3 linked regions of the Oryctolagus cuniculus genome follow. The protein of the gene in region 3 interacts with the protein of the main gene of each other region in a biochemical or structural test. Links are inferred from orthologs where the notes say so. Each region holds a gene or a part of one and is shown on either strand. Other genes may lie near its edges.

Region 1 (7,610 bases), on a different chromosome or scaffold from region 3:
TGTGTTGCCAAGGGCATGAGGCTCGCTGCCGCCTTCTCCTGCTTTCGCATCAAATGCCAGGTTGATCTTCAGGGCAGAAACCGCGTTTTCTTTGCTGTGTTCTTTGACTTTCACCAAACTCGCTGGAAGGGAGCTCCGAGAGAGAGAGAGAGAGAATAGGCAGTAAAGGGAGCCCTGCTGTAGCTCCTCACAGAGCTATACGAATGGGCAGAGAAGATGCAGGTTTAACTGAGGAGCGAGGCTTTGAGCGCCCTCGGAGAAAAGCCAAGACCTCCTGGTTGAATGACCAGCACGCACTAGGCCAAAGGCTTTTCCCTGCAGTGCCAATCAGGGGCCGCCAAAAGATAGTGCCCACGAAGGCGAGGGAGGAAGCGTGAGCACAGGAACCCGGCACAGCTTTGTCACGGCTCTCCCGTGCACTCCTGGTGCCTGCTTTCAGGAACCTGTACTGACGGGGTGGGTGCTGGCCAGACAGTCCTTTATTTCACCCGGCCGTGGCCCTGGGACCCGTCATCCGTGCACACCACACGGATGCACGGATTCAGAGACGCGAAGGCCGTGCGTATTCAGTATCCTTCAGATACCAGACCCTGTGCCTGATCTCGCACGCCCTGATCTCACGTCGCCCCTGTAGTGGCCCTAGGAGACGTGTGTTTTAGGGATGAGGGAGCCGTACCTGAGGGTTGCCCGCAGTTGCACAGCTAGGGAGAGGTAGACGGAGAGCGGAACCCAGGCGCCATGACTCCAAGGTGACTCCGGGGTCTGCGTCCTGCCCAGCCAGTCGGTGGAGAGTCTTGTGTGGGTCTGGCCCCCACCCTGCCGCCCCAGCAAACGTGCGTCTCGGGCCGCTCTGATGCTGCCGGGTGGCGTCAGCACAGCTCTTCCCTCAGGAGGACGAAGTGAAGCATCTTGTGGAGCGGATGATGGCCCTGCAGACCGACATCGTGGACCTGCAGAGGAGCCCCATGGGCCGGAAGCAGGGGGGCACGCTGGACGACTTGTGAGTGCCCGCACACCTTCCCTCGGCTCGGGAGGCTCTGTGGGCCCGTCCCACCTGTGCCTGCGAGGAGCCCAGGCAGGCGCCGGCCCTCTGAGCCTTCGATTCCACATTGCTGAGTAGCAGAAAGGGCGCCGTGCCGTCACAGGGGCGTGAGGCCCTGTCCACGCCCACGCTGAGAGGCGGCTCTGCGTCCACACCGCGGCTCACACAGGGTGGCTCAACGAGCGGAACGCAGAACAGAAGGCAGGCCTGGGAGCTGTTCATCTGGGCCCGAGGAGGGGCAGAGGAACCAGGTGGACCAGTCCTCCATGGGGGAAGTGACACGGAGGCCACTCCACTGTGCGCAGTCAGGGGGAGCTGGGCAGGGAGGGCAGCAGCGTTTGTCACATTTAGGTCAAGAAGTCAGTGCCAGAAGCTCAGTTATTTGTCCTGGGTTTTCTGTAGTTATTTAATCCTCTTCTCTTCCAGTGTTCAAAGGATAACCCTTTTTGAGAGTGTCAATCAGTTTCGGCCCTGTTAAGGGACAGGGATGGGACTCCGGGTCCCCCCACCCCCTGGGCTTGAGTGTTCCCAGGGGAGCCATGTTCCGGGGCCCAGGCCCAGCGGTGGCACCTGGGTCTCTGTTGAGGAATGGTAGATCGCCAGGAAGACCTAGGTTTGCGCCTGGCCTCTGGCTCTAGCTCCTGCTAATGCAGACCCAGTGATGGTTCAAGTAGTTGGGTCCCTGTCACCCTAATGGAAAAACTGGATTGCATTCCCAGCTCCGGCCTGGCACCCGCTCAGCCCTGGCCATCGTGGGTGGTCGGAGGGTGAGCCCTGAGCTGGGGGACCTCCCTGTTTCTGTCTCCAAGGCTGCAGAACCTTTTTTCTGCCCAGGGACACTTGGCTGTTGAGAACATCATTTGCAGGCCACGCACATTTATCAACTGATAGCTCGCTGTAGATTGAGTGGCTTCCCAGTCCTGCCTGCAGGGCCAGACCAGATGATTCTGTGGGCCGTGTAAGGCCGGCAAAGCTGGACAGTCCCCGCCCTGTTGTCTCCAAAACAAACAGAAACAGCACCCTGCCAGCCCTGTTCCTAGCAGTCAGCAGTCATGATGGGTGAGCGCGAGCATTTGACCTGGGGTCTGAACGGAGCTTCTTTTACGTTGCAGAGAGGAGCAAGCCAGGGAGCTTTACAGGCGGCTGCGAGAAAAACCACGAGGTGAGTGGGGCTCCACGTCTGCCCAGGGCAGCCTTGGTGTGGCTGCTGAGACGTGGCGCTCTCTGCTGGCCGCCCTGCAGAACCGCACCTGTGTCCCTGTCCTCAGACCAGCGCACGGACGGCGACAGCCAGGAGATGGTGCGGCTGCTGCTGCAGGCCATCCAAGGCTTTGAGAAGAAAGTGCGGGTGATTTACACGCAGCTCAGGTACGGCCCACTCTGGCCCCTGGAGAGGGTGGGGAGCGGCCCGGCCCAGCCCGGCCCGGCCCTGGTCTGCTCAGCCGCCAGAGAAGCAAGTGTTGGCGTCCGCCAGTCAGCCGCTTCGCAGTTCAACGCCGCTGCGCTTTGGCATGGTTCTCCTTTGCAGCAAGACCGTGGTCTGCAAGCAGAAGGCGCTGGAGCTGCTGCCCAAGGTGGAGGAGGTGGTGAGCTTGATGAACGAGGACGAGAAGACCGTGGTTCGGCTGCAGGAGAAGCGGCAGAAGGAGCTGTGGAACCTCCTGAAGATTGCCTGTGTGAGTGAGGCCTGGCCCGGACCTTGACCCGCTGGCCTCTTAGGCCCTGCCCCTCCCACCGTGCCACGGGCCCCATCCCGCAGGGGAGGCATAGAGCCACCGCAGAACCCCCGGCAGCTGCGTCTGGTAGCTGATAGCCAGCGCGGGGCTCACAACAGAAGTGACGCCTGGGGTGCTAGCGCCACGGCGAGGCAGCCAGTCCCCTCTCGCCTTGTGCACCCTCCGGTGGTGCAGGCCTGCCGTGGCTCGTGGCCACTTCACTCCAGTCCCTGTCTGTCTGCCCACGTCTGTGTCCGTGTCTCCCTCTGCATGTCTCTCACAAGAACACGAGACATTGGATTTGGGTCCCGCCCGAACAGTCCAGAGTGTCCTTAACGTGATTACATGTGCAAAGACCCTTTTTCCAGGGGTTAGGACGTGGGCGTATCTTTCATAGGCCACCCATTCAGGCCACTATAATAGTGGGTGCCAGTGCACCCTGGCTGATCCTCACCTGCACCTGCAGTATCGCAGCCCATGCTTTCTGTGTCCCTCATCTGTGTAGCCGCCACGCCACTGAGTGCAGCTCGGGGAGGAGGTGGACAGTGAAGGAGAGAAAGGAGCAGAGGCAGGCAGAGTCCTGGAAGCCAGAGCTGAGGGAGAGCGCGCCCCGTCCTGCAAGGCTGTGGGCGGCGGGAGAGGGTGGCAGGGGCGCACGGGCTACCCGGCAGCAGCCTTCTGGGCCGAGGGGAGGAGAGGGAGCTAGCTGCGTATGGTGGGCACAGGTGCGGGGGCAGTGTCAGAGGGGCAGTGATTCACACTCCTGAGAAGGAAGGCTTATGCAGGTCACGCGGGAGCAGTGGCTGGCCTGGGGTAGGGGTGAGTGGCATTTCCTCCTGTGGGAAAGGAGAGATGATGAGGTGGAGCATCAGAGAAAGAGAGGGAAGGCGAGGTTCACACAGGTGACGGCTTGGTCTGCCACCTGCATGCACACGGCATTCACTGAATGCTGACCGTGTGCCCAGCAGCGTGGAGAACGGGAGGTGCCGGGGAAAGGCATGGCGCCGGTCCTCGGGAGTTCCTGGCCAGTGAGGGGCACAGCAAGGACAAGAGTGAGCCCAGGGCGGGGCAGGGCAGGAAGCAGCTCCGGCAGGCGTGGGAGCCGCGCGGATGCAGCGGAGGGAGCAACAAGCAAGGTAGCCGGCGCGTGTGGTTTCAGCTGAAGGAGGAGGACGTGCGCAAGCCCCGGGCCGGGATTGGCGGGCTGGGTGGTGCTGGGGAGAGGCTGTCCTTGAGGAGACAGCAATGGTGACTATTCCAGTATTGTAATAAATCTTTTACTACAAAGTAGGCTTTTTAAAAAATGTATTTATTTATTTGAAAGGCAGAGAGATCTTCTATCCACTGGTTTTCTCCCCAAATGGCTACAATGGCCAGGCTTTGGCCAAGCCACAGCCAGGAGCCAGGAGCCTCCTCCAGGTCTCCCATGTGGGTGCAGGGGCCTAAGCATGTGTGCCGTCCCCTACTGCTTTCCCAGGCCACAGCAGAGAGCTGGATGGGAAGTGGAGCAGCCGGGACTCAAACTGGCGCCCATATGGGATGCCGGCACTGCAAGTGGAGGCTTAGCCTACTGTGCCACAGTGCCAGTCCCAGACACCTTGATTTTCTTGTCAGCTGTGCTGAACATGGTGCCTTCCCAGAGAGCCTTGGAACCTTTTACGTGTCTCAGTCTTAGAAAAGAGAACAAAACACCTTCCTTTTCTTTTCTTCTAAGAGTTTAGCAGGAATCAAACTAATGAGATAAAGCCCGCAAGTAGCACGTCTCCCTGTTTCGGATCCTCTCCCAGTGAGTGTTCCTGTCTAGAAAGAAACTCTTTAGAGGCCTGTGTGAAAGACCCGCTGGCGTGGGGCCAGGGACGGCGGGACCAGCAGTGGTGCCGTGCGAAGGTGCTGGGGTCGGAAGGCACACCTGGCCTCATCACTTGGCTCCAAGATGCTGTTGACTTTCTTTTCGGTTTCGTCCCTAGAGCAAGGTCCGCGGTCCTGTCAGCGGAAGTCCGGACAGCATGAACGCGTCTCGGCTCAGCCACCCTGGTCAGCTCATGTCTCAGCCTTCCCCTGCCTCCGACAGCCTGCCTGAGCCGGTCAAGAAGAGGTAAGCCGTGGTGAAAGGGGGTGCGGCTGGAGACTGTGGGCGTGGGGAGGCTGATGACCTGCAGACGCTCTGTGTTTGCTCTAGACAAGGGTGCTGCAAAACGTCGTGCAAAAGGATTAAAGTTTATTTTGGCGCAAAAAAAAAAAGTTGAAATCCATGCCTCGTTTTCTCATAAAACAACATTTTCAGGAATTTTTTGGGAAAACCACTCAAATACATGGATTTCAGCATTTTGGGGGTATAAAAATAAACATCTTTTCTTTCCATTTTCCACAAATGCTTCAAAGTACCATGTGCGTAGGCCCCAAATAGTCCCTCACCAGCTTCCTTGTGCCTCATTGCTTACCCAGAACGTGGTGAGTGCCAGCCGCCTCCAGAGCAGCTTCCCTCCGGGGGCGCCCTCCCCACACCACGGTCCCCCCCCCCCCCCCCGCCAGTCACCGTCTTCTCACCTCTCCCTGAGTTACCCAGCTGCTCGGTGCCTCTCGTCCCCTCTTCGGTCCCCCTGCCTGATCCAGCGCACTGCAGGTGGACAGAACGGGCCAGGCCCTCCCTGCAGGGCTCCCCATGTCCGGCTTCCTGTTCCTCGCTGCCGCCAAGCCCTCTCCTGCCAGATCAGTCTTCCCCGAATCGCAGCCGAGTCATCTCGTGGGCAGCAGCTCATTCTCACTCCCCTCCCCATCTCAGAGATCGGGTCTGGACTTCCTCGGGCGGTGGTGGCCACCTCCACGTGGATCTGCGCACCGTTCTGCTCGCCCCTGTGCTAGTCCGCTTCTTAGTCCCACCCAGACCCGCAGTCCTGTGGGAATGGCCCTTCTCCCATCCCACCCGGGCTCCTTGGAATCACAAGCCCTGGCTGAGGCCCAGCCAGTCTTCCTTGGAATCACAAGCTCTGGCTGAGGCCCAGCAAGTCTGCGTTTGGTGCGCCCCCTGGTCGATTCTGACGCACGTGAAGCCTGGGACGCAGTACTCCAGCTCAGCCACAGGTGTCCCTCCCCTCACCATGCCACGTCTGCGTCTCTCTGCATCCACCACACTGGAAGCCTTGGGCACCCGGGCACATGCTAGCGCTCTCTTCCTATGGGGCTTTCATTCGGCATCTCTTGTATGCCAGACACTGGGTGCTGGAGACGTTAAAATCTATTCCTGCAGGCGAATCTCTGGGAGTAGGAAGTAGATGAACGAGTCCCTCAGGCAGGCGGAGAGGGTGGTGGGCAGTGCCTGATGATAGGCGGAAGGTCTCCTTCAGGGAGGATGAAAATGTCCTGAAACAAGATATGCTGATAGCTGCGTGATTTTGTGAATATGCTAAAGCCACTGAATTGTACATTTTAAGCAGGTGAGCTTTGTGGTATACAAATGATTATCTCAGGCTGTTCTTAAAAATCTGTTTCTGTCCTTGGAGTGTTTGTAGCCTGTTTTGGTACTTAATCCTACAGGACGACAGATTGTGGTTTTGTTTTTGAAAGGCATAGAGACCTAGAGAGATCTCCCCACACTGGTTCACTCCCCAAATGCCGGTAACAGCAAGTGTCCCAAGTGGTACCGTAAACGTGGTGCCAAATGCCCGCCCTGACGTGACCGTAGGTTCTTACTCTCCTCGGCCTCTGTGAGCCCCTGGGGAAGAGCAAGCGGGCGTGGCCTCCCTTGTTGCCCTCTGGAGCTGGCACTGAGCTGTGAGCTGGCGGCCTGTGGACGGCGTTTAGCGGACGCGCTCCAGGCTCCTTGGAATGCTGTATTTGGCAGAGTGAGGACATACTCAGCATTGAGGGCCCTAAAGGCCTGGGAGTGCAGAGGCGATGGTCTGAGAAGGAAGCATTACTTCCTGTACTCTCCTCTTCCCGCTGGGGCCCGTTCCTGAGCTTACTCAGGGAGGTCGCATCAGGCGGAATCACGTCCCAGAGCTTGGTTTTCAGCAGGTCTCAGGAAATTGGAAATCAGGTGATTTGGGAGATAGCGTTAGGCTCTGGCAGTTTGGAGAGTTAACTTGTAATATGTGGTAGGTCAGAAAGAGCTCTTTTTTTTTTTTTTTTAAGAATTACTTTATTTATTTGAAAAAGTTACAGAGAGACGTCTTCCATTCCGCTGATTCACTCCCCAAATGACCGCAACGGCTGGAGATGACCTGATCCGGAGCCAGGAGCCTCCTCGGGGTCTCCCATGCAGATGCAGGGGCCCAAGCACTTGGGCCATCTTCCACTGCTTTCCCAGGCCATAGCAGAGAGCGGGATCAGAATAGGAGCAGCCGGGCCTAGAACCAGTGCCCATATGGGAGGCCGGCGCTGCAGGCCAGGGCGTTAACCCACTGCGCCACAGCACCAGCCCCAGGAAGAGCTCCTTTCCTCCCGACTTTTTATCAGAGATCTGTTTGCTCCTTCGCGTCTTGACCGGTGATGCTCATGGCTGCGTTGGGCCCCTGACCAGTGCCTGAGGAGACAATGTGGTCTCTACCCAGTGCCGTGGTGGTGGTCTCAGACACCCAGGGTCAAACAGTTGGGGCGTCATCTTTAAATTATTGTCAAAAGCTTGTTAGCCTATTTAAAACAGTAGTGTCAGCTCTGCTAACTGACAGTGCCCACTGCCTAAGAGTTTGGTCGTTTTCTCTAGTGAAGACCTGGTGGCTGAAGCGCATTCTCTCTGCACCCAGCTGGAAAGCGCAATGCAGGACACCGTGAAGGAGCAGGACCAGAGTTTCATGGTAACAGCCCGTGCGAACCCAGCTGTCCAAGCCCTGTCTCCACGGCACAGGAGAGAAAGT
Region 2 (6,891 bases), on a different chromosome or scaffold from region 3:
GCAGCGGCCGAGCCAGGAGCTGCTGTGGGAGCTGCAGCAGCAGAAGGCCCAGCTGGAGGCGCGCGTGCAGGACCTGGAGGCCGCGGCGCAGGTGGGGGCGCCGGGCGCCGGGCGGGCGGGGGCGGGTGGGCGCCGGGCGCCGGGCGGGCGGGGGCGGGCGGGGGCGGAGCCGCGCGGGACGGCCGCTCTGTGTCCAGCAGGGGACGCGGGAGCGGAGCAGCCCCTACGTCCAGGTGCTGGAGGAGGAGTGGCGGCAGGTGCTGCGTGACCACCAGGAGCAGGCCGGCACCGTCTTCTCCCTGCGCAAGGAGCTGCGCCAGGCCGAGGCCCTCCGCGCCCGGGTAGGAGGCGGGGCCCTGGGGGCCGGGCGCCCTCCCCGCGGGGCGCTGAGCGGCCGTCCCCACAGTGCGCGGAGGAGAAGGAGGTGTTGGACCTGCAGTGCCAGGCCCTGCGCAAGGACGCCCGGCTCTACAAGGAGCGCATGGAGGCCGTGCTGCAGCAGATGGAGGAGGTGGCCCTGGAGCGGGACCAGGTGTGTGGGGGCCCAGTGCCCTCCCCGCTCTCGGGGTCTCCCTCGGTGCGCCCCTCGGCCACGATGCACCCTCAGGGAGCTGCTCTAACACAGAAACCAGCACCTGGGGGGGGGGCCCTGGGGGCGGAGGAGGACTTGCACACACACACACACACACACAAAGAAGAAGAGCGGCCGGGACTCGGAGGCAGGCAGCGGCAGGGCTGGTAGGCGGGACCTCTGGCTGCCTCTGGGTGGCCCAATAGGGACAAAAATGGATCAAGTCCCGGCCGCGGGGGCGCTGATGGGCCCAGACTCTGCCCTGCCCCTGCCCGTGGCCCTGTTCCCTCTGTGTGTCGGTGTCCCACGGCTGGCCGGCCCCCAGTGGGGACAGGCGGGCGTCTCACACAGCACAGACCATCATGCTCCTTGTTTTTGAGATTTTATCTCTTTGAGAGGTAGAGAGAGAGAGAGAGGTAGAGAGGTCTTCCATCTGCTGGTTCACTGCCCAGATGGCCGCAATGGCCAGAGCTGCATTGATCCGAAGCCAGGAGCCTCCTCCAGGTCTCCCACGCGGGTGCAGGGCCCAAGGCCTTGGTCCATCCTCCACTGCTTTCCCAGGCCACATCACAGAGCTGGATCGCAAGTGGAGCAGCCGGGACAAGAACCGGCGCCCATGTGGGATGCCGCCCTGCAGGCTTTAACCGCTGCGCCACAGTGCCAGTTCTTAAGCTTTGCTTATTTGCGGGCAGTGGCAGCTCTTCCATCTGGTTCGCCCCCACTGCCTGCAACACCCGGGGCTGGGCCAGGCTGAGGCCAGCCCCAGGGGCTCCGTCCGGGTCTCCCCCACAGCGGGCAGGGCCCAGTACCCCCAGGTGCGTTAGCGGGAAGCTGGATCAGGAGCAGAGGCGGGGCCTGGTCCCAGGCGCTCCGACCCGGGCAGCGGCCTCACGCAGGGCGCCGCAGTTCCCCAGACGCAGACCCAAGTCCACGGGCAACAGCGCGGGCCCGGCCCACGTGGCCGGCTCGTCGCAGAGCCGTGTCGGAGGCTCAGGGCCCACGCGTGTGTCCCGCAGGCCATCGCCACGCGGGGGCAGCTGCACTCCCAGCACGCGTGCAGCCTGCAGGAGAAGGACGCCCTGCGCAAGCAGCTGCGGGAGCTGCGGGAGAGAGCGGACGAGCTGCAGGTGCAGCTGCTGCAGTGCCAGAGCCGCCTGCTGGCCGCCGAGGGCAGGCTCCAGGGGCAGCAGCCGGACACGCTCGCCCTGGTGGGCCCCGGGACACGGGGGGGGGGGGAGGTGGGCCCCAGGACACGGGGGGGGGTGGGCCTCAGGGACCCCAGGACACGGGGCAGGGAGGGGAGGGGAGGTGTGGTGGGCCCCCAGGACACGGGGCGGGGGGAGGTGCTGGCCGCTGAGGGCAGGCTCCAGGGGCAGGAGCCGGACACGCTCGCCCTGGTGGGCCCCCAGGACACGGGGGGGGGGGGAGGGGAGGTGTGGTGGGCCCCCAGGACTCGGGAGGGGAGGTGATGGCTGCCGAGGGCAGGCTCCAGGGGCAGGAGCCGGACACGCTCGTCCTGGTGGGCCCGGGGACCCCAGGACACGGTGGGGGGGGAGGTGTGGTGGGACCCCAGGCGGGGGGGGAGGGCCCATTCTGGCTGGGGGCTGCAGGAGGCGCAGCCTCCCCTCGCCTGCTGACCGGCCCCTGTCCTGTGGCTGCAGAGCTGGGACCTGGAAGACGGCTCGCCCAGGGACTCGGGGGAGGTGAGCAGGGCCCCTCCCCACACCAACCAGGAAAGGGGGCCGGGCCGGGTCTGGGGAGGGGCAGCGGTGACCTCGCCCTCTCATCGGAAGCTGCAGCTCCCCGGGGACCCGGAGGACGCCCGGCCGTGCGACAAAGGTGAGGAGGGCGCCGTGCCCGGCCCACACCTGGTCCCTGCCCGCACGGGAGAGAGGCTGGGCACAGGGACTGTGACCTGGACAGCCGCTGCGCGGGGCCGGGCTGGGGCCCCCACCCTAACCCAGGGAGGACACGGCAGGCCTGTGGCCCCCAGCCTGCCCTCAGCCAGGAGGCGGTGACAGGAGCCCGTGGGCGGGGCCTGGGCGTTGATTGGGCAGAGCGGGATCCGTCAGCAGCCTGGAGGCGGGGCTGGGCGGCAGGAGGACTGGCCCGCGTGCGTGCGTGCGTGCGGTTCAGGTGGGCGGTGGGCCCAGTGCGCGGTAGGGGGGTCCCTGGGGGAGCCAGACCGACTTCCTCAGCGTCAAACGCGACCCAGCCTCTGGGCAGGAGCAAAAGCGGAAGCTGCAAATGGAGAAGTGTGGGTGGGCGGGCACTGGCCTCGAGGCCACGGAGCCCCGCGTGGCCGAGGCGGGCGGGACCCAGGTCCAGCTCAGCTCTGCCCAGCGGTGGCAGGTGCGAGCCGTCCGCGGCCCTGCAGGCGCGCACACGTGTGTGTGCCCAGGACACGGCCGAGGCCTGGCCACCGGCGCCGAGTGGGCTCTGGGCCGCCCCCAGGGGCCGTGGCGTCCACAGCTCTGCCGGACCCACGACACGGGACTCCGCTCGCAGGTGGCCTGGGGGTGACCGAGCCGCACAAGGAGATTTCACCGAGCCCCCACGTAAGGCCAGGGGCGGTCCCCCACCCCGGGAGCCCCCAGCCCAGAGCCCCCTGGACGGCTGGGGAGGGGCGCGGGAGCCTCGGCCGGCGCTGAGCCCGCCCCTTCCCCAGGACGCGGGCCTGGGCAGCGAGCCCCCGGAGAAGGAGCGGCGGCGGCTCAAGGAGAGCTTCGAGAACTACCGCAGGTGCGCGCAGGGCTGGGGCGGCGCTGAGCGCGCGCCTGCCCACCGCGGCCCGCCCACCTGCGGCCCTGCCCACCCGCGTCTCCGCAGGAAGCGCGCGCTCAGGAAGACGCAGGACAGCTGGCGGCACGGGGAGGTGGACCGGGACAACACGACGGGCAGCGACAACACGGACACCGAGGGCTCCTAGCGGCCCCGGGACACACCCCCGCGGGGACCCCCCTGGAGCCCGGGGCTCCCGCCGTGGGGGCGGGGGGTCAGCCGTTGTACCCTCCGCCCGAGCACAGCAGGCGGGCAATAAAAAGGCACCTAGAACGACCCGCGTCCGCGTCCTCGCGCGCGTGTCCCGCGCCGAGCCCGGCGTGCGGGGCCCGGGAGGCCGGCGCAGCGCCGCGAGCCGCCGCGAGGGGGCAGCAGAGCGCGGCACCGGAAGTCGGCGCCGCCACTTCCGCCCGCCCCAAGATGGCGGCGGCGTGACCGCGGCATGCTGAGGGCGGCGCTGGGGCGCGCTGCGGGGCTGCTGGGTCGCCCGCGGCCCCAGGGACCCGGCCCGAGGCGGCTGTGGGGCCGCGGGGCCCGCCCGGCGGTTGCGGGGAGTCGGCGGGCCGGGGGCTGGGCCTGGGGCTGGCGGCACTCGAGCTCGGAGCCGGGGCCCCAGGCGGCGGGGCGCGTGCAAGCGGCGCACTACCAGCTCGTCTACACCTGCAAGGTGGACTTCCGGGAGGGGCGGGGCCGCGCGCGCGGTGGGTGGGGCTGCCCTGGGGGCGGAGCCTCCCTGAAGGACACGGCTCGCAGTGGGTGGGGCTGCACTCGGGGGCGGCTCCTCGGGGGCGTGGCCGGCTCCCAGTGGGTGGGGCTGCCCTGGGGGCGGAGCCTCCTGGAAGGACTCGGCTCGCAGTGGGTGGGGCTGCCCTGGGGCGGAGCCTCTGAGGGGCGTGGCGGGGCCGCCCTGGGGGCGGAGCCTCCTGTGGAGGACGGGCCGGCTGGGGGGGCGGATCCTCAGGGGCGTGGCCGGGCTCCCGGTGGGTGGGCTGCCCTGGGGGCGGAGCCTCCTGCTGGGACGCGGCTCCAGTGGGTGGGCCTCTCGCCCTAGGTGTGCGGCACTCGCTCCTCCAAGCGTATCTCCAAGCTGGCCTACCACCAGGGCGTGGTCATCGTGACCTGCCCCGGCTGCCGGAACCACCACATCATCGCCGACAACCTGGGCTGGTTCTCGGACCTGGGCGGGCAGAGGTGAGACCGGTCTTCAGTGCTTGTTTTATCGGGGCGAGGGTGTGGCCGGCAGGTTAATCCGCGCCACGGCCCGCACGGCGCCCACTCCAGCCCAGGCCCTGCACCCGCGTGGGCCCTGGTGCCGCTCCTGGCCCCCGGCTTCCGGGTGGCGCAGACCTGGCTGGGTGGCATCCCGGGGGGATGGAGGGCCCTTCTTCCGTCTCTGAGTTGCAAACATCAGCCTCACCGGTATGGAGGCGTGTCAGCTCCCATCTGCTGGTCACTCCCCAGATGACCACCACGGCCGGGCCGGGCCGGGCAGAAGCCGCTCCTGCTGCCTCCCAGGGCGCACCTGAGTGGGAGGCCTGACCCAGGGCCCTCCCCCGCCCCCCGTGGGACGCAGGTGCCCCGCAGCCAGCTGTGTCCGCACACCTGCCTGTGCGCGCGCCCCCGTGTGGCAGCCCCAGGTCTCGCCTCCGCCGGCCGCCGCCTTGGCGTGGAGCCCTCTAGCCCTCTGGCACCAGGGACGGGCAGGTGTGTGCCCGGCGGGCGCACCTGGGTGCTGAGCTGTCTGTGCCCGGGACAGGGCGGCAGGAGCAGCAGGTGCAGAACCGCGGTGTGTGCCCGGCCCCTGGGCTGGTCACAGCTGGGGGTCTCCACTTCTGGGCTCTGGGGGGCCGGGGCCGGGGCAGCGAGGGCCAGGGGAGTAAGCCGCCCCGTTTTCAGGAACGTCGAGGAGATCCTGGCCGCCCGAGGGGAGCAGGTGCGCCGGGCAGCTGGCGAGGGGACCCTGGAGCTGACCCCCGCTTCCCCGGCCGCTCCAGAGCGCGGGGAGGACGAGGACGCCGCCCCGCCCGGCAGGACAGAGCTGAGCTGACCCCGCCCCCCTGCTGTGGGCTCTCTGGCTCCTCCCCTTTTCTGCCAATAAACGACATCAGCTCCTCGTGCTGGGCCAGTGGCTGCTTCTCCTGCGCCAGGACTCCCATGAGCCCCCGGTGCTGTGCAGGGCGCACGTGCAGCCACAGGGCCCCGGCCTCCCCGCCGCCCCTCCTGGGAGTCAGCGGGCGGAGCCCAGGTGGGCGGGGCTCCGGGTGGTCTCGGCCACAGGCCAAGCGAGCGAGCCGGGAGGCTGTGGAGGCTTCGGGGCTCAGGCAGCGGGCCATGGGTGCGGTGGGCGCGGTGCCCGGCCCGGCCGGGGGCTCTCGACGCGCTCCTGTGGGCGGCGGTGCCCAGCCCGGCCGCGGGGCTCTCGACGCACTCCTGTGGGCGGCGGTGCCCGGCCCGGCCGCGGGGCTCTCGGCGCGCCCGTTTATGCAGCGAGCAGCAGGAGCTCTGAGCTGTGACCCTCGGCACCCGCAGCTACAGTCGCGGGCTGGGGAGCGCGGAGCCCGGGCGCGTGGCACGGTCCCCGGGCGTCTGCGGCAAGTGCCGGCTCAGCTGCCGTCCCTCCCTCGGCACACAACCCTCCATTATCCCGAGGCCTGCGTGCCATCCGTGGAGGCCCACCCGTGGCTGAGCCGGCACCAACGCGAGGACCACCTTATCCCGTGCCTGGACACGGCTGTCCCTGGGGGGCCCGCGCCTCCCAGGCCTGGCCTGATCCCCGCAGAGCAGACCCCTGGTGCAGAGCCCGCCCCGGCCCTCCCCTGTGGGCCACTGTCCCGCCCTGACCCCCAGGGCGGCTGCGTGACAACCAGAGCCGGCCGGCCAGTCAGGGCCAAGTTGCCACCCTTGGAAGGGCCTCCCCCCCCCCCCCCCGGGATCTGTCCCTGCGGGGGGCAGCCTTGCCCTGGTTTCGGGCTCCCCTCCCCTGCCCGCCCAGGCCAGGCCCCTCCCCACCTGCCATGCCTCTGAGCCCGCACCCGCACTTCCCAGCAGCCTGGTCCTGGAGACGCCGGCGGGATACGGGCAGGGCCTTGTGCTCAGGGCTCCCGGCAGCCCCCCCCTTCTCCTTTGCGCCGACGCAGGTGGAGCGGTGGCTGCTGCGCCCTGGGTGCCGCCCGACCTGCTGGTGCACCCCAGTCCAGCTTCCCTCCCACAGGCACAGCCGCATCCTGGGACGGGGGGGGGGGGGCAGCAGGTAGCCCTGAGGGAAAGGGAGGACCACGGTGGCCTCCAGCCACACAGCGTGCACCGCGGGGCCACCTGGTAGTGCACGGTACCCACAGCCCACAGCCTGGCCACGGCACAGCTGGGCCCAGCCTGGGGGTGGCCCCTGGCCTGAGAGCCCTGGGTTGTAGCCCCTGGGGCGGATGCACCTGCCGCTCACCCTGTCCCGGGGAGGGGGCAGGAGAGACGGCGGGGAGAGCTGGGCCCCGCTCCCCTGCAAGCCTGGTGTCCACGCAGCTCCAGCTCCGTCCCCAGCCGCC
Region 3 (7,610 bases):
TTGAACCATCACCCGCTGCCTTCCAGTGTGCTTATTAGCAGGAAGCTAGATCAGAAGTGCAGCTGGGACTCAAACCCAGGCACTCAGATATGGGTTGCAGAGGTCTTTACAACTGTGCCAAATGCCCACCCTGAAACCATCTTTTAAGTATCTCATTAAATTATATGGGGCTTATGCCAAGATATTTTCTGCAAGAATGAAAATGATAGAGGAGGCCGGCGCCACGGCTCAATAGGCTAATCCTCTGCCTGCGGCGCGGGTACACCGGGTTCTAGTCCCTGATGGGGTGTCGGATTCTGTCCCGGTTGCCCCTCTTCCAGTCCAGCTCTGCTGTGGCCTGGGAGTGCAGTGGAGGATGGCTCAAGTCCTTGGGCCCTGCACCCCATGGGAGACCAGGATAAGTACCTGGCTCCTGCCATCGGATCAGCGCGGTGCGCTGGCCGCAGTGCGCTGGCTGCAGCGGCCATTGGAGGGTGAACCAACGGTAAAGGAAGACCTTTCTCTCTGTTTCTTTCTCACTGTCCACTCTGCCTGTCAAAAAAAAAATAAAAAAATAAAAAATAAAAAAAAAGAAAATGATAAAGGAAAGAATGTGAACATGTTAAGAAAATAGCATTAATTAGTAAGGCTAATATGAAATGAATTTAGGTAAACCGCTGAGGCTTTTGGTGGCTGAAACTCCACCACAGGTAATATAAGGAGACCTTGTACATGCTTGTAAGACCAACTGAGAGGAAAAGAGATTCTTTTCAGTATATTGGCGATTTTTCCCTCAGTGATTGGCTTCATTTCCAGACAGGAACTGCTTAATGCTGAAAATTTACTGCTCAATGGTTAGAAAGGACCATTAGAAAATTCCTAGCAAAAAAATGCAAAGAAAATTTGCAGCCTAAGAATCTATCTTCAAATAGAGAAATGGTCCTCATTAAAATTAGTTTTAAACATGAAAAATCCGCAAACACTAAAGCACCTAAAAGGGAAAAGTACAGAAAATACTGAAAAGTACATGATCCACAAGACTGACATTTAGCTATCCTGAAAGTATACTTCTTTTGCTCTAAAATATTCTATTTACAAAGTATGCTTAAAATTGCATTTTTGAAAGACACATATCAAATGTAAATAAATCACTGTAGAAGTTTATAAAAAGATTCATATCCTTTAAAACATTTTTTGTTGTTACTGAACACACTAAAGGCAGTATGCTGTCATTGCCGTGAAAGAGCGCGTGACCGTAAGGGAAGAAACATCTCGCTGGAGTTCGCGCAAGTTCCTTGCTCTTCTAATTGCAGCTCCGGTGGCAAAGGAGGAGCTCCAGGGTCCCCAGGTCTGGGAAGTGTGGTTGAAGAGAAGATGGTATTTTCAGTTCTGCCTACTTCTAGAATAGGCAAATTCAGAGAAGAATCAGTAGAGAAAAAGGGAGCCGTGCTGGATTCTCCTTCCGGATGGTACATGGCGGTGGACGCTCTCCGTTTCTCGGAGAAAGTACTCTCATCTGAATTGGATCTAGATAAGTTGTTCGTGGCTCCACCAGGGAAAGGCTCACAGCTGCTACATTTGAGTCCTATAATTAAATCATTCAAGTGTAAATAGGAAAGTCTCAAGAACTGGCATCTACCCCCACCTTTGTAACTTTGTAAAGATTACCAGCCAGCTGCCACACAGTCAAATTTTAAACAGCAACTTATATATTCTGTCATAATCCATTTCAGATCTAACAGTCATGAAGTGGACTTTTATTTACATTTTCCCTAAAAGAAAATAGTCTTAAGGGAGCTAAAAGACATGAAATTCACATTTCATGTGTACTTACATACTCAACCACTGAAGGACCCAGAAAAAATAAAGCAGCCTCCCCAAATTTTCCATAAAATAATAAGGTATCCATACCCCTCTGTTATGCTTAGCAAATAATCAGCCTAACTGTCCACAAGGCACAGAAACTCCTGAGTTGACAAATTTTAGGTAAAACATGAAAAATCCATGAAGTCCACTTACATGTAGCTTTTCCCACTACTTTCCTACTTCACAACATTCAGTATCTGTTTTTTGTTTATTTTCATCTACTTGAAAGGCAGAGTGAGAAAGAGAGAGACAGAGACAGAGAGAGAGAGAGAGAGAGAGAGAGAGAGAAAGATAGGAAGACAGAGATCTTCTATTTCCTGGTTCACTTCCCAGATGCCTACAAGTCAGACTTGGGCTAGGCCAAAGCCAGGAGCCTGGAACTCCATCCAGGCCCCCACAAGGGTGGCAGGGGCTGAAGCACTTGAGCCATCATTTGCTGCCTCCCAGGATGCATTGGCAAGAAGCTGGATTGGAGCAGAGCAGCTGGGACATAAACCAGCACTCTAATATAGGGTGCATGTGTCCCAAGTGGTGGCTTAATACGCTGCCCACGCCTGCCTTGCATTCATTATTTCTGTCCCACACTACATAAATTATCTTCTTATATATGGCTCACAAGGGGTACCTTCCAATGTGTCCTATCCAGCAAGGACAGGAGGCAGGACCCAGGGTACACATTAGCAGGAAGCTGGAATCGGAAGTGTAGCTGGCACTAAAACCAGGCATCCAATATGGGATGCAGGTGTCCCAAGCAGCATCCTTTTTTTATTTTTTTTTATTTATTTATTTTTGACAGGCAGAGTTAGGCAATGAGAGAGACAGAGACAGAGAGAAAGGTCTTCCTTTGCCATTGGTTCACTCCCCAAATTGCCACTACAGCCAGCGCACTGTGCCGATCTGAAGCCAGGAACCAGGTGCCTCCTCCTGGTCTCCCGTGTGGGTGCAGGGGTCCAAGTACTTGGGCCATCCTCCATTGCCTTCCCGGGCCACAGCAGAGAGCTGGACCGGAAGAGGAGCAACCAGGACAATATCCGGCGCCCTGACCGGGACTAGAACCTGGGGTGCCAGCACTGCAGGCAGAAGATTAGCCTAGTGAGTCACGGTGCTGGCCCCAAGCAGCATCTTAACTGCTGCACTAAATGCCTATCCATAAGCTTAAACTTTTAGAAGCAAAATATCACTTCTAATTTTTTGGTTTGCATTCTTTTTTAAAAATTTTTTATTGGCTGGTGCCGCGGCTCACTAGGCTAATCCTCCACCTGCAGCACCGGCACACCAGGTTCTAGTCCTGGTCAGGGCACCAGATTCTGTCCTGGTTGCCCTCTTCCAGTCCAGCTCTCTGCTGTGGTCCAGGAGTGCAGTGGAGGATGGCCCAAGTGCTTGGGCCCTGCACCCGCACGGGAGACCAGGAGGAAGCACTTGGCTCCTGGCTTCGGATCAGCATGGTGCGCCGGCCGCAGCGGCCATTGAGGGAAGACCTTTCTCTCTCTCTCACTGTCCACTCTGCCTGTAAAAAAAAAAAAAAAAAAAAAAAAAAAAAAAAACCAAAGATTTTTTATTTTAAGGCAGAATGAAGAGAGGAAGATCTTTCATCTGCTGGTTTATTCCCCAAATGGCCACAATGGCAGAGGCTGGGCTAGACGGAAGCCAGGAGCCTGGAACTCTATCTAGAGTCTCCCACACAAGTGATGGGGGCCCAAGCACTTGGGTCATTCTCTGCTGCAAAATTAGCAGGGAGCTAGATTTGAAGTGGAGCAGCCGGGATGCAAATCCAGCACCCTTATGGGATGCCAGTGTTGCAGGTGACAGCTTAACCCTTTGTACCAAAATGCAGGACTCTTCTTTTGCATTTTAACAAAGCATTTTTGTGGCAGGTGCTATTGCACAGCAGGTTAAAGCCACGGGTTGCCCTGCAACACTGGCATCTCATGATGGCACTAGTTTAAGTTGTGGCTGCTCCACTTCCAATCCAGTTCCCAGCTAATGTGCCAGGGAAAGCAGTGGACGATGGCAAGTCTTTTGGCCCCTGCACCTACACAGGAGACCTGGAAGAAGATCCTGGCTTCGGCCTGATCCAGCCCTGGTCATTGCAGCCATTTGAGGAGTGAACCAGCAGATGGGACCTGTCTCTGGTTCTGTCTCTCCCTTCTCTCTCTCTCTCTCTGTAACTCTGTTTTCCAAATAAAGAGAAATATTAAAAAAAACAAAAAAACAAAAAAAACAAAACTCCACAAAGCATTATTACACTTAATCCTGAGAAACTTAACATATCTTACCTTTCAGATGTTCTAGTTTGATATTTCTAAGTTTCAGCACTTCATCTGTGATCTTCTGTATCAGGAAGTTCTGTGTTTTTTCTCGTCGAATAGATTCAACGAGGGTGTCTAGTCCTTTGGGGTTTTCTTGTAAGTAGTCTAACAGTTTTCCAGCCCTCTTTCTACTTGATGTTCGACAAGAAATTTCTTCAGTGTCTTCTCTACTGAGTATTTTTTTGGCACGTAGATGATCAAAATGTCTCTCAGCAATGATTTTTTCACACAGGTATACACGCAAATTTTCTAGAGCCTAAAAAGACATAATACATGCTTCAGTGTTGTTTTCTCAAACCTAAGGAAATCACACAGGTGACTGATTGTTAGGAACCTTTTCTGATGGAAGGTGCTGTTCTGAAGTCGGGAGGCTCAGGCCCTCTGAAACCCAAGCTAATTAAGCTGAAGGTCCAAGGTTATCCATGCAGGTCCCCCACATTCCTCCCTGGTTCAGCCCTGCTCTTTTATAAATATAAAGCTTTTATTTAATAAATATAAATTTCGTAAGTACAACTTTTGGATTATAGCTGTTCTTCCCCCTATACCTGCTCTCCCACCCCCACTCCCATCCCACCTCCTACTCCCTCTCCTATCTCATTCTTCATTAATATCCATTTTTAATTATCTTTATATACAGAAGATCAATTCTATACTAAGTAAAGATTTCAACAGTTTGCACCCACACAGACACACAAAGTATAAAGTACTGTTTGAAGACCAGTTTTACTGTTAATTCTCATAGTACAACACATTGAGGACAGATGCCCTACATGGGAAGCAAGTACACAGCGACTCCTGTTAACAACTGACACTCTTATTTGTGACGTCAGTGATCACCCGAGGCTCTTGTCCTGAGTTGCCAAGGCTATGGAAGCCTCCTGAATCCACAAACTCGACATGACTTAGACAAGGCCATAATCAAAGTGGAAGTTCTCTCTTCCCTTCTGAGAAAGGTATCTCCTTCTTTGATGGCCCCTTCTTTCCACTGCTCAAAAATAAACGAAAAGGGGGAAATGTGGTGGAATGAGAAGGCCATGCCAAGGTGGCCACTGGCAAGTGAGCATCAGTTACCCAGGAATGGCTTTGAAACTGCCTGGCAACAGGCTGTGACTGGTTGGGGCATAGACCGCCCCTTGACCAGACTGGCTGGTCTTGGCTATATAAGATGTTGTACCAACTGTAATAAACGAGTCTGCGGGCTGCTCGCCTCAAGCCTGCTTTCACCCGACTCCCGGGGTCTGTGTGGTGACTCTGCGCCTCTTGCCCCCACCACGCTGCTCCTCTCCGAAATGAATCCACTGCAACACTGTTGAGAAATCAACTGCAACACACCAGGATCTCACTCATAGAGATCTTTCACGTAGGTCATTTTTTGCCACAGTGTCTTGGCTTTCCATGCCTGAAATGCTCTGGGGGCTTTTTAGCCAGATCTGAATGCCTTTAAGGGCTGATTCTGAGGCCAGAGTGCTGTTTAGCTATTTGTCATTCTGAGTCTGCTGTGCGTCCTGCTTCTTATGTTGGATCATTCCCTCCTTTTTAATTCTATCTATTATTATTAGCAGATACTTGGTCTTATTTATGTGATCCCTTTGACATTAATCCTATCTTCATGATCAGTTATGAACTTAAACTGATCACTTTAACTAGTAAGATGGCATTGGTAATCTGCCAACTTCATTGGATTTGGAGTCCCATGTTAGCCCTACTTTTGATTTTACCTTCACAACTAAAAACCAAGACCACGTTACCGAGAAGAGGGGCCTGGGTCCTTGGCAGTAAGCAGGCCTGCGGATGGCTACCTTCAGGGGTTAAAGACGAGAGCAAAAAGGACTGTACACTGTAATTACCATTTAGCAAGGAATTCAGAATTATGAACTGGGAGTATGTTCTCACAATTTACAACTTTCTCACGTTTGTACTTAATTATTCCACTTCCCTAGAGGAAAATTATTAACAATAAAACAAAAACAAAAATCTTAATTAAAAGAATCCGACCTGTATCTGTCTTTGGGGTCTGTAGGAGAGGCTAAACTCTAAGTCAGTGAGTCTGTCTTAGTGGAAAGGAGATGGAAGGGTGTATGGAGATAGAAACCTAGAGAAATAACAGGTTCTGGAAAAACTGAAGAGTTCAAGAATACCACAGAAACCAAGTCTATGTATGGAAAGTGCCTAAGGGAGCTTAATTAGCAGAAAATCCATGTTGGTCTCAATAAATTGCATTAACAACTGATGTCAGCAACTCTATTTTAGCACCTCCCTTTACTAGGCCTGTGATCTCGGGTAAGTTACTTCACGCCTCTGTGCCTGTTTCTTCATCTGTTATGCAGAACACATAAATTAATATATGCAAAGTGCTTTGAAAAGTGTGGTATTTGGGAAGTATCAATATATGTCAGAGACTATGACCACGATAATTCATCTGACTCACATTGATGATGAAGATTTCAGAGGCACCACAGTGTGTGGTGGCAAGAAGCTGGGCTAGATGAAGGGTTGCTGCAGTTCTTGGTCCACTGAGCTCCCACATTCATCTACTCACACACAGACATTTTATAATATGCCAAGTGCTGAGCACTGACTATATTTAGATGACAAGATATGAATCCTGGATGCAAAGGGCCTTGGTCAAGTTGGGAAATGTGTATTACACGAAACCAGTAATTTTAAGACAATATGATACAGCCCAGGGAAAAAAAAATTATAGTCAACTGGGGAAACACAGATTAAGCAACTCCATCTCCAAGAACTGGGAAATTTACAGAGGCATGGAGGTGCACAGAATTCTGGGGTAGAGTACACATGGCTACTGAGAAGGGAGATAAGAAATGAAGTAGAGAAGGAAAACTGGCATGGCTCATGGAAGATTTAAAAAACTTTTGTTTTAAACATGTTGTTATTTGGGGAAAAGGGGGGAGAGGGAAGGAACTTGGGGGAGGGGAGAAAGAGGGAGACAGACAGACACTGAGAGCTCCCAGTGGTCTTCTCTCTCAGATTCTTGCAATGGCCAGGGCAGGAACCAAGAGCCAGGACCTCAATACAGATCTCCCATGTGAGCTGCAGGAAATCTAGTAACTTGAACTATTACCCGCTACCTGGCATTTGCATTAGTAGAAAGCTGGATTCAAGATCTGGAGCTTGGAACTGAACCAGGTACTTTGCTATGGAAGGTGGGTGTCTTTTTTTTAATTTATTTTTTTGACAGGCAGAGTGGACAGTGAGAGAGAGAGACAGAGAGAAAGGTCTTCCTTTTGTCGATGGTTTACCCTCCAATGGCTGCCGTGGCTGGCACGCTGCAGCCAGCGCACCGTGCTGATCCGATGGCAGGAGCCAGGTACTTATCCTGGTCTCCCATGGGGTGCAGGACCCAAGGACTTGGGCCATCCTCCACTGCACTCCCTGGCCACAGCAGAGAGCTGGCATGGAAGAGGGGCAACCGGGACAGAATCCGGCGGCCCG

What was found.
Region 1: the proteins of BCL10 (region 3) and IKBKB form a complex in vitro, tested with the Homo sapiens proteins (2 studies listed by BioGRID, with this or other methods). The link is inferred for Oryctolagus cuniculus from reciprocal best matches to the Homo sapiens genes BCL10 and IKBKB.
Region 2: the proteins of BCL10 (region 3) and CARD9 form a complex in vitro, tested with the Homo sapiens proteins (2 studies listed by BioGRID). The link is inferred for Oryctolagus cuniculus from reciprocal best matches to the Homo sapiens genes BCL10 and CARD9.

Annotation. Positions count from the first base shown.
Region 1 is NC_091433.1:92,508,269-92,515,878, forward strand, and holds part of IKBKB (inhibitor of nuclear factor kappa-B kinase subunit beta), read left to right. Parts: intron 1-890; coding exon 891-1,000; intron 1,001-2,154; coding exon 2,155-2,204; intron 2,205-2,284; coding exon of another isoform or gene 2,285-2,310; coding exon 2,311-2,410; intron 2,411-2,570; coding exon 2,571-2,718; intron 2,719-4,724; coding exon 4,725-4,852; intron 4,853-6,869; exon of another isoform or gene 6,870-7,459; coding exon 7,460-7,550; exon of another isoform or gene 7,551-7,610.
Region 2 is NC_091432.1:236,668,955-236,675,845, forward strand, and holds the end of CARD9 (caspase recruitment domain-containing protein 9), read left to right. Parts: coding exon 1-91; intron 92-197; coding exon 198-341; coding exon of another isoform or gene 342-406; coding exon 407-532; intron 533-1,587; coding exon 1,588-1,779; intron 1,780-2,232; coding exon 2,233-2,274; intron 2,275-2,364; coding exon 2,365-2,410; exon of another isoform or gene 2,411-2,707; intron 2,708-3,025; coding exon 3,026-3,129; intron 3,130-3,239; coding exon 3,240-3,500; 3' UTR 3,501-3,628; downstream 3,629-6,891. Other genes in the region: DNLZ (DNL-type zinc finger protein), read left to right, coding at 3,795-4,019, 4,404-4,543, 5,249-5,399. UniProt on the Homo sapiens protein: Adapter protein that plays a key role in innate immune response against fungi by forming signaling complexes downstream of C-type lectin receptors.
Region 3 is NC_091438.1:85,921,489-85,929,098, reverse strand, and holds part of BCL10 (B-cell lymphoma/leukemia 10), read right to left. Parts: intron 4,411-7,610; coding exon 4,122-4,410; intron 1,565-4,121; coding exon 1,209-1,564; 3' UTR 1-1,208. UniProt on the Homo sapiens protein: Plays a key role in both adaptive and innate immune signaling by bridging CARD domain-containing proteins to immune activation.